Linked DNA regions of Astyanax mexicanus. The protein of the gene in region 1 purifies or fractionates together with the protein of each later gene. This does not show direct contact. Links are inferred from orthologs where the notes say so. Each region holds a gene or a part of one and is shown on either strand. Other genes may lie near its edges. The genes, in order: cand1 and dcun1d3.

Region 1 (3,925 bases):
ATTAAGCAATCTTAACATGTGCAGTTTTCAACTGTGCGACTTTTGCTGCACCTTCATTTATAGCTTTTGACACCTGTAACAATCAATTCATGCAATTCTGGGAAATTCTATTCCTCTAAATCAATACACACAAGCACTAAAAATATATTTAATATACTGTAGAAAAGAGTACAGTTTTTAATACTAAAGACACTGCACAAAATGTACAAATCAAACTCCCTCTTAGACTTCCCTCTTTCTGAGGTAATCACTTCATCTTTATCTAAAAATAAAGACAAATCAAGTGCACATGAGCATATGAGGGACAACATATTTGATTAAGCATCTTTAAAACGTTGAATTCTCCAACAAACCGAAAATGGGAAAATGGAATGTTTGGCTCATCTGCTGGCACTTTCTTATTCTAAATTGCAACAGAGTGATGTCATGACCTTAAATCTCTGAAAAGTAAATTAACTGATTATCTTGCTGCAACGGCGAATGGGTGGGATACTGTATACTGTATTAGGTAGCAAGTGCGCAGTTGGTTCTTGAAAAAATGGGCAAGCGTAAGAATCTTAAACACTTTGACCAAGGGACAAATAGCGATGACTATATGAATGGGTCACAGCATCTCCAAAACAACTTGAATAATGAGCGATCCTGGCATGCTGTGGTTGCTACCTACCAAAAGTGATCAGACATAGCACAACAAACAGACTCAAGAATGTCCAACCTCTCAATCTACAGAATTGTTGCTAATATCTTCAAGTTAGATACATCAAAACAAGTTTTATGGAGCATACTCCAGGATGGGTTAAAACTGTTGCCTGCAACATATTGAGACACGAACACATCAAATCAAGACATTGGAGTATTGTATCTTGGTGAATTATGCAAACAACATTAGGAGATTGCAGCGTAAAAAGTTAGTGTGGTGTGGAAATAGCATTATCAGTGAGGAAAACTAACAATTTCACTCTTTGAAGCAATAGCTTGCAAACAACCAACCCTCAACTCCAAAACAACAAGAGCGTGCACCACAGTTCTCTCATCTCTATCCATAGTAAGTTAATAGTAAATTGTACCTCAATTTAACACTCATTTACAATGCTGCAATAAACAATGTCGTCATTATTAATTATTGTCAACATTGACAAACACAATAGGCGAAATCAGGATCATCATATATTATTATGGTGATGTCCAATTTTTTCAATAATGTACTTATTGTGACTAAATTTTGTAGATTTGTACTGAACTTACTTGACATTGGTTAAACGTGAAATATTTGATGGATAATATTTTTAATGTAGGTTTTAAACTTGAAGTGTTGAAATTTTATGTTATGAACACATTAAAACAAAAATGTCTGATCCATAAATTTAAACCTATCTGACTGAAAACTGTTTTTATAAGTTAAATGATGTGTTTTGTTTAATTTTCCTGAAAAGCCAGGATGTTTCAACTATGAAGGAAATGTTTTCAAAGCAAAAAGCATTGTTAGTTTTTATTACCAAAAACTTTTATACATGAAATAGATGGTTAGCGTTACTATTCTTAGACCGTTTTATTTAACGTTTTTAAACGTTCTGGTAACGTCGGTGAATTGGTGTTAACGTATTTTAATTTTTGTGTTAGCAATGCTACTTTTAACGCTTTGATAAATTTTAGCATTGGTCTAGATTGGAATGTTATGTGAGAAACGCTTATATTTTTACATTATTAGCTACTTCACACGTTTTCAGAAAGTCCCTTAAAATTATTTCTCTAACGTTACAGTATAATATTACTTTTTGCTCAAGTTTAGTAAATGTTAAGTAGATTTAATTTAGATTCGAGCAATTGTCAACTTATGTGAGCTGCATAGTTTTGCACCTGCAGCCACTTACTATAAAAACACAACGTGAGTCAACTTCCACTGGTTACAATAATAATGGCACCAGCATGCTAAACATCTAAATTACCTAGATAGCTAACTAACTAGTTAACATACATTGTTGCCCCACAGACTAAACTCCTGGTGATAACTTAATAACCTTAGTGTTGACAGAGAAAACACGACTATTCTATTAGCTAAATAGATTAGCCAACGAGTTAATGACAAGACAAGATGACAAGTCAACTTTGTGACAGGCCACACTAGCTAGCCAGCTTTGTTAAATTAGTCAGCTAACCTACATCTACATCTCATGTTAGTAGATTTGTTCAAAATATAACGTTGACTATCATCCAAACAACTGTTACTGTGCAATAAAACGGTGATTATCTGTTTCATAGTTAAGTTAGCAAGCCAGCGCAGCCTCCCTCCGCACCAGCCTGCTCTAGAAGAGCTCATAGCGCCCTAATGTTTGCTAATAGTGCTAGCTAACGTAACTGGCAAAATCAGCCGTTTAGCGCGCTAACCTGAGGAGCTAGCTTGCTTACATTGTTAGCGAGTTAGTTAGCAAGCTAGCTAGCTTACTGTTAGCACAAATCCCCACTTACAGCGAATTAACTCCATAAGGTTGATTTAAAAGCAAAAATAAGACGTTCCAACTGTCTTTAGCTATCTTATAACTTGTCGACTAACTGGCTGGTGCGCTAAACACAACAGCGGCGGATCTGCGGCCTAGCTAACTAGCAAGCTAAGCTAACCAAGCTAGGCTAGCTATCGTTAGCTTAGCCTACCCAGCTCCAAACTCAGTGCACGATCCCCATTTCAGAACGAAAACACGGCCCACACGCGCTGCAGCTCTAACAACCACACATATACCCGAACTTCACACCGCAGCGGCGGTATTCGGGAGCATGGCTCACCTGAAATCCTTATCGCTGGAAGTCATTTTTTCCAGGAGATTAGAGATGTGGTATGAGGCGCTCGCCATATTTGCAGTCAGTCAGTTGGAGCAGCTCGCTGGTAGCAACCACTTGTGAGTATCGCGGCCACAATCACTAGTTATCCTCCCCCTCCACTTTCTCGCGTAGCTGCAGCGCTGCGACACAAAGCCGGTTCTCCACGCTCTCTGCAGTCTCTGTGCGGCTCTAGCAGGGCGGCGGAGTTACACTTGCATCCCCCTGAGTTTGGAGGTTTGAATGGAGGTCCTGCTTCGCTCTGCAAGAGGGAGGAGCTGCGGCTCCAGACGGAGAGGGCAAAGTTGAGAGAGATCTCTGTGGGCGGGGCCTCGCCTTCACCGACAGCTAAACTGGCCAATCGCAACGCAGGAATAAAGATTACAGAGTTTGGAGAGGTTCAGCGACAACACAGCTAACAGTTTTATTTAGTATCATTTTTAGTTCTAATTTATTCCCATTTTCTCCCTAATTTACACGTCCAATTACCCAACAATTCCCTATCACTAGTGATGCCCCAACAACAGGGGGGTAAAGACTGGCACATGCCTCCTCTATTATATGTGAAGTTAGCATTACTGAGTAGCATCACAGCGCAGTGAGTCGGTTCAGATCATAGACTGTGTATAGCTGGACAGAACATCGTCTCTCAAAAGTGAAGCCACCACAGGTCGGGCGCCCCCTGCTGTTCGGCTGCAGAAAGCTGTATAACCCCACCCACCCCCATAGGTTTCAATGGCAAAACAGACAACTTTCAATCACGTTTTTTTCTAATATACTGTAATTCTTCCACCTTTATTTAAATGCAACAGCTGGTGTAACCTCTGCTTATATTGTCAATTTGTTTTATATTCCCACAGAATTCGTTTTTTAAAGCGTTATTCAGCTCTATTTAAAAAGGTGTGGTTATTGTAAAAAGGGCTGGGTTACACCTAGCTGGGGTGGGACCAATGACTGTATGGGCGGGACCAATAACAGACCGAACCTGCATCATGTTCTTTTTTCCCCTTACGTCAAGCAGTAGACTAGTACTAGTAGTTAGTCAAACGTTTAGCTAGCTAACTACCATTATTATTTTTTATTAGCTAAACTGAATTTAGATAGCTGTATTATT
Region 2 (3,925 bases), on another chromosome or scaffold:
ATTCCTATTTATTTCCTGATGAGAAGTTTCACTGGTGTCTCAGTGTCTGTGGTGTCAAAGCTTCTGATTTTACAAAAAGTTTCAGATATAAGAGGCGTGGATCTGTTTTTCTCTGTAAAGCTGCTTTATGACAACCTTTGTTGTAAAAAGCGCTATAGAAATAAATTGAATTGAATAACGGGTTCTTACATGAAATTCCAACACAGATGGAAGCAGCTGCGCTTCTCTTCGTCTCCCCTCACTGTGCCCCGCCCCTCTCCCATATGCCCCGCCCTCCACAGACACAACGCCGATAGATAGATAGATAGATAGATAGATAGATAGATAGATAGATAGATAGATAGATAGATAGATAGATAGATAGATAGATAGATAGATAGATAGATATTTATGCCGAGAGAAGTTTAGGAAAGAACAAGCAAGGGACTGGAGATAGGGGGCACCCAATTTACTGACTATCTATAGCCAATCAAAAGCAAGGTTTAAATTCGAAATAGTATCTTCAATATCTCAACATTTTAAGCTCCATGGACCAGTGACAGAATAAAAAAACATATCACATTTCAAAAAAAAAAAAAAATAAAATTAAAATAAAATACATTTATTTGCAGAATCCCAGGCAGATCCAATCCAGATATTGGGGTTGATCCAGTCCCAGCTATAAAGTAGATCCATTCCATGTTTTGAAGCAGATCCAGTCCTTATTTTGAAGCAGATCAAGTCCAGGTACTAAAGCAGATTCAGTCCTAGTTTTGAAGCAGACCCATTTCTTGTATTGTGGCTTCCCCAGTCCTGATATTAAAGCAGATCTGGCCCTGGTATTGAAGCAGCTCCAGCCTTGATATTGAAGCAGATCCAGTCCGTGTATTGTGGCTAATCCAGTCCATGTTTTGAAGCAGGTCAAGTTTTGGTTTTGAAGATAAGATAAGATAAGATACTTTTATTGTCATTGCACAGTGTACAACGAAATTTAGCAGCAATCCTTATGGTGCCTGAACAAAAATAAAAGAAAACAAAATAATAACAGCTCTATGTACAAATACACAAATTTACACACATTTACAGTGGATGTATGAAAATATAGGCAATATAGTAACAATTTACCCAATAATAAATACAGAAAGTGCACAGTGCGTTGTAAGTCCAGCTATTAAGGTTTGTACGTTTAATTTTTTAGTTCCTTGGTAGTGGTCTGAGAGTGTGCGTGCATTTTGCAGTGTTCAGTTCTCGTACAGTACTATGGTAAAAACTGTTTTTCAGTCTTCAGAAGCAAATCCAGTCCAGGTTTGTGGCTAATCCAGTTCAGGTTTGTAGGAAGATCTGGTCCTGGTATTGAAGCAGAGCAAGTCCATATTTTGAAGCAGATTCATTCCTTGTATTGTGGCTAATCCAGTCCATGATTTGAAGCAGACACAGTCATGTTTTTTAAGCAGATCCGGTAATTGAAGTAGATCCAGTCCATGTTTTGAAGCTGATCAAGTCCTGGTATTAAAGCAGATCCAGTATTGGGTTTGAAGCAGATCGAGTCCAGATTTTGAAGCAGGTCAAGTTTTGGTTTTGAAAGAAATCCAGTCCAGGTTTTGTGACTGATCCAGTCCATATTTTGAAGCAGAACCAGTCCATGTTTTAAAGCATACCCCTTCCTTGTATTGAGGCTAATCCAGTCCGCGGTGTTAAACCAGACGCAGTCCGTGTTTTTAAGCAGATTCAGTCCGGGTTTTGCGGCGGATCCGCTCAGGCTGTACAGGACGTGACGGAGGGAAAATTCCCATAATGTTCAGTGATTGAGTAAAGATCAGCAGAAGAGGAACACAAAGAGAAAAACACTCTCACACACGCACAAACCCCGTATCTCCCTCACCCAGCACCGCACTCACACCGGGACCCCCCGGAGCCGCGCTGCGGGCTGCCGGCCGGGCCCTCGCCCCTCGCTGGAGCTGTAGAGCCGGGCTGAGAGCAGGAGCGCACGGGGGCTGGAGCTGCTGGATGTGGAAGTGTCGGACCCGCGGCGGCGGCGACCTGCCCCGATCCCCCCGCTTACTGCCCAGGTGAGTCTCTGAACCCGCCCCCTGACTCCACTACACCCCACACACCTGAACTCCGCTCACCTGAACTCAGCTACACCCCGAACACCTGAGATCCACACTCCTCAACTCCTCCGCGCTCCGAGAAACAGGGCGAAGCAGCGTTTAGCACCCCAGCTAATTAGCCCGATGCTAAAGCTAACGGAAAAGTGAACGGGATTTGCGCTGAATTGGGCCAGCAGCGGGCACACTGAGCTAGCTTAGTTAGCCTGTTAGCTTAGTAAAGCTAAATAAGACTTTGTCAGCTCTGTCAGCGCCGCAGAAAAGTATAAACGATCTAATAAACTAAATAAACAGAAGAGTAAAGTAGATGAAAGCCTGATTTTGTAGGTAAAGTCCTGTTTATTTAGTTTACTTTAGTTTAAATACAGTAACAACACAGCTTAGCCTGGTTAGCTTATGTAGGCTGTAGTAGAGTTATGGAGCTAGCTTTAGCTTTAGCTACTTCTGCTAAATCCCTGTACCAACTACAGTAAAAGTCATTTGATCATTTAACAACATTTATATATAAGCATCATAAACCACAAACCCCATAAAATATATAATATATATATAAAGTTCACTGTAGCTGTTTAAGTAAGTCTAGTATGTAAGTTAATTTACCTCCGTTAAACCCATAAAGCTATATATATATATATATATATATATATATATATATATATATATATATATATATATATATATATATATTAGTAGTGTCAGTGGATTAAAACATTTAATCAGAATAATCACAACAATATTCTGTGATAAACTGCGATTAATCACAATTTTCATTCTTAAGACAGGGTTTTATAGTGGCCATTTAAATGTAATTTAAAGAATGAATGTAAGAAAAGTAAAATGTGAATATATTAATATTAATTAATCTAAATAATAGTTTCTACTTGTATGTTTGAGGGGAGATAAAGCCGTAACGTGAGGCGCTGGAATAAAGAATGAATGATAAATAGGATATAGGAAACATTTTTTTTACTTTGTTGTGAACATCTCAGCTTGGTTGTAAGGATTTCTGAATTAGAACTTGGTATAAAAGAGCGTTTTTACACCTGTAGTTATGAAAGTTTCTAAAATCCGGATCAGTTGATAAGTTTATTTATTTGGCACCAAAATGCGCATCAATAAACTACACAAACACATCAGAGTCTCCTCTGATTGTCAGAGCTGTCTGGAGCAGGAGTACGAAAGTAAATATAGTGAGAAGATTCTGTGTTCCACTGTGTATATCTGTATATCTGTGCAGTGTAAAGCCGCTTTAATATAGAACGCTGAGAATTTGCAGCTGCGCTTTTAAACACAGTGTTTTCAATGGGACATGCAGCACAGATATGAGCAGTGAATGCATGTAAACAGCATGGAGCAGCAGAGACAGCGTTCATTCATAGCAGTATATTATCTGGCTAATATATCAGAATAAACTGCTGTGTGTGTGTTTGTGTGTGTTTGTGTGTGTGTGTGTGTGTGTGTGTGTGTGTGTGTGTTCAATTGAAGGTGCTGGTCAGTGCTCAGGTACAGACATATACCAATATAAAGTATAGAATTTAATTTAAATTCATGTCATATCAGACAAGACATTGTTTGACACTAATAGAAACCATATATCATTGCTGTCATGTCAAAACCTTGTATCTACAAAAATACATTTTTACAGGATTAGAGAGAATAAGACTGTCCCTAACACTGAGACTGAAGTTCTTGGGGAATAGAATAGAAGAATAGAAATTCTTCAAAATTTCATAAAATAAACACTCTTTATATCGACTAAAGGAAGCTTTTAAAAAGGTTTTATCTCTCTTCTGTAAAGTAGCCGTTTTAGAAATACATGTTTTTCATTGGGCAGCGAT

The links.
Region 2: the proteins of cand1 (region 1) and dcun1d3 purify together in Homo sapiens (affinity purification with western blotting; 3 studies listed by BioGRID, with this or other methods). This does not show direct contact. The link is inferred for Astyanax mexicanus from reciprocal best matches to the Homo sapiens genes CAND1 and DCUN1D3.

What each region holds. Positions count from the first base shown.
Region 1 is NC_064409.1:11,545,307-11,549,231, reverse strand, and holds the start of cand1 (cullin-associated NEDD8-dissociated protein 1), read right to left. Parts: upstream 3,101-3,925; 5' UTR 2,847-3,100; coding exon 2,779-2,846; intron 1-2,778. UniProt on the Homo sapiens protein: Key assembly factor of SCF (SKP1-CUL1-F-box protein) E3 ubiquitin ligase complexes that promotes the exchange of the substrate-recognition F-box subunit in SCF complexes, thereby playing a key role in the cellular repertoire of SCF complexes.
Region 2 is NC_064413.1:56,192,593-56,196,517, reverse strand, and holds the start of dcun1d3 (DCN1-like protein 3), read left to right. Parts: upstream 1-1,646; 5' UTR 1,647-2,048; intron 2,049-3,925. UniProt on the Homo sapiens protein: Contributes to the neddylation of all cullins by transferring NEDD8 from N-terminally acetylated NEDD8-conjugating E2s enzyme to different cullin C-terminal domain-RBX complexes and may play a role in the cell cycle progression by regulating the SCF ubiquitin E3 ligase complex, after UV damage.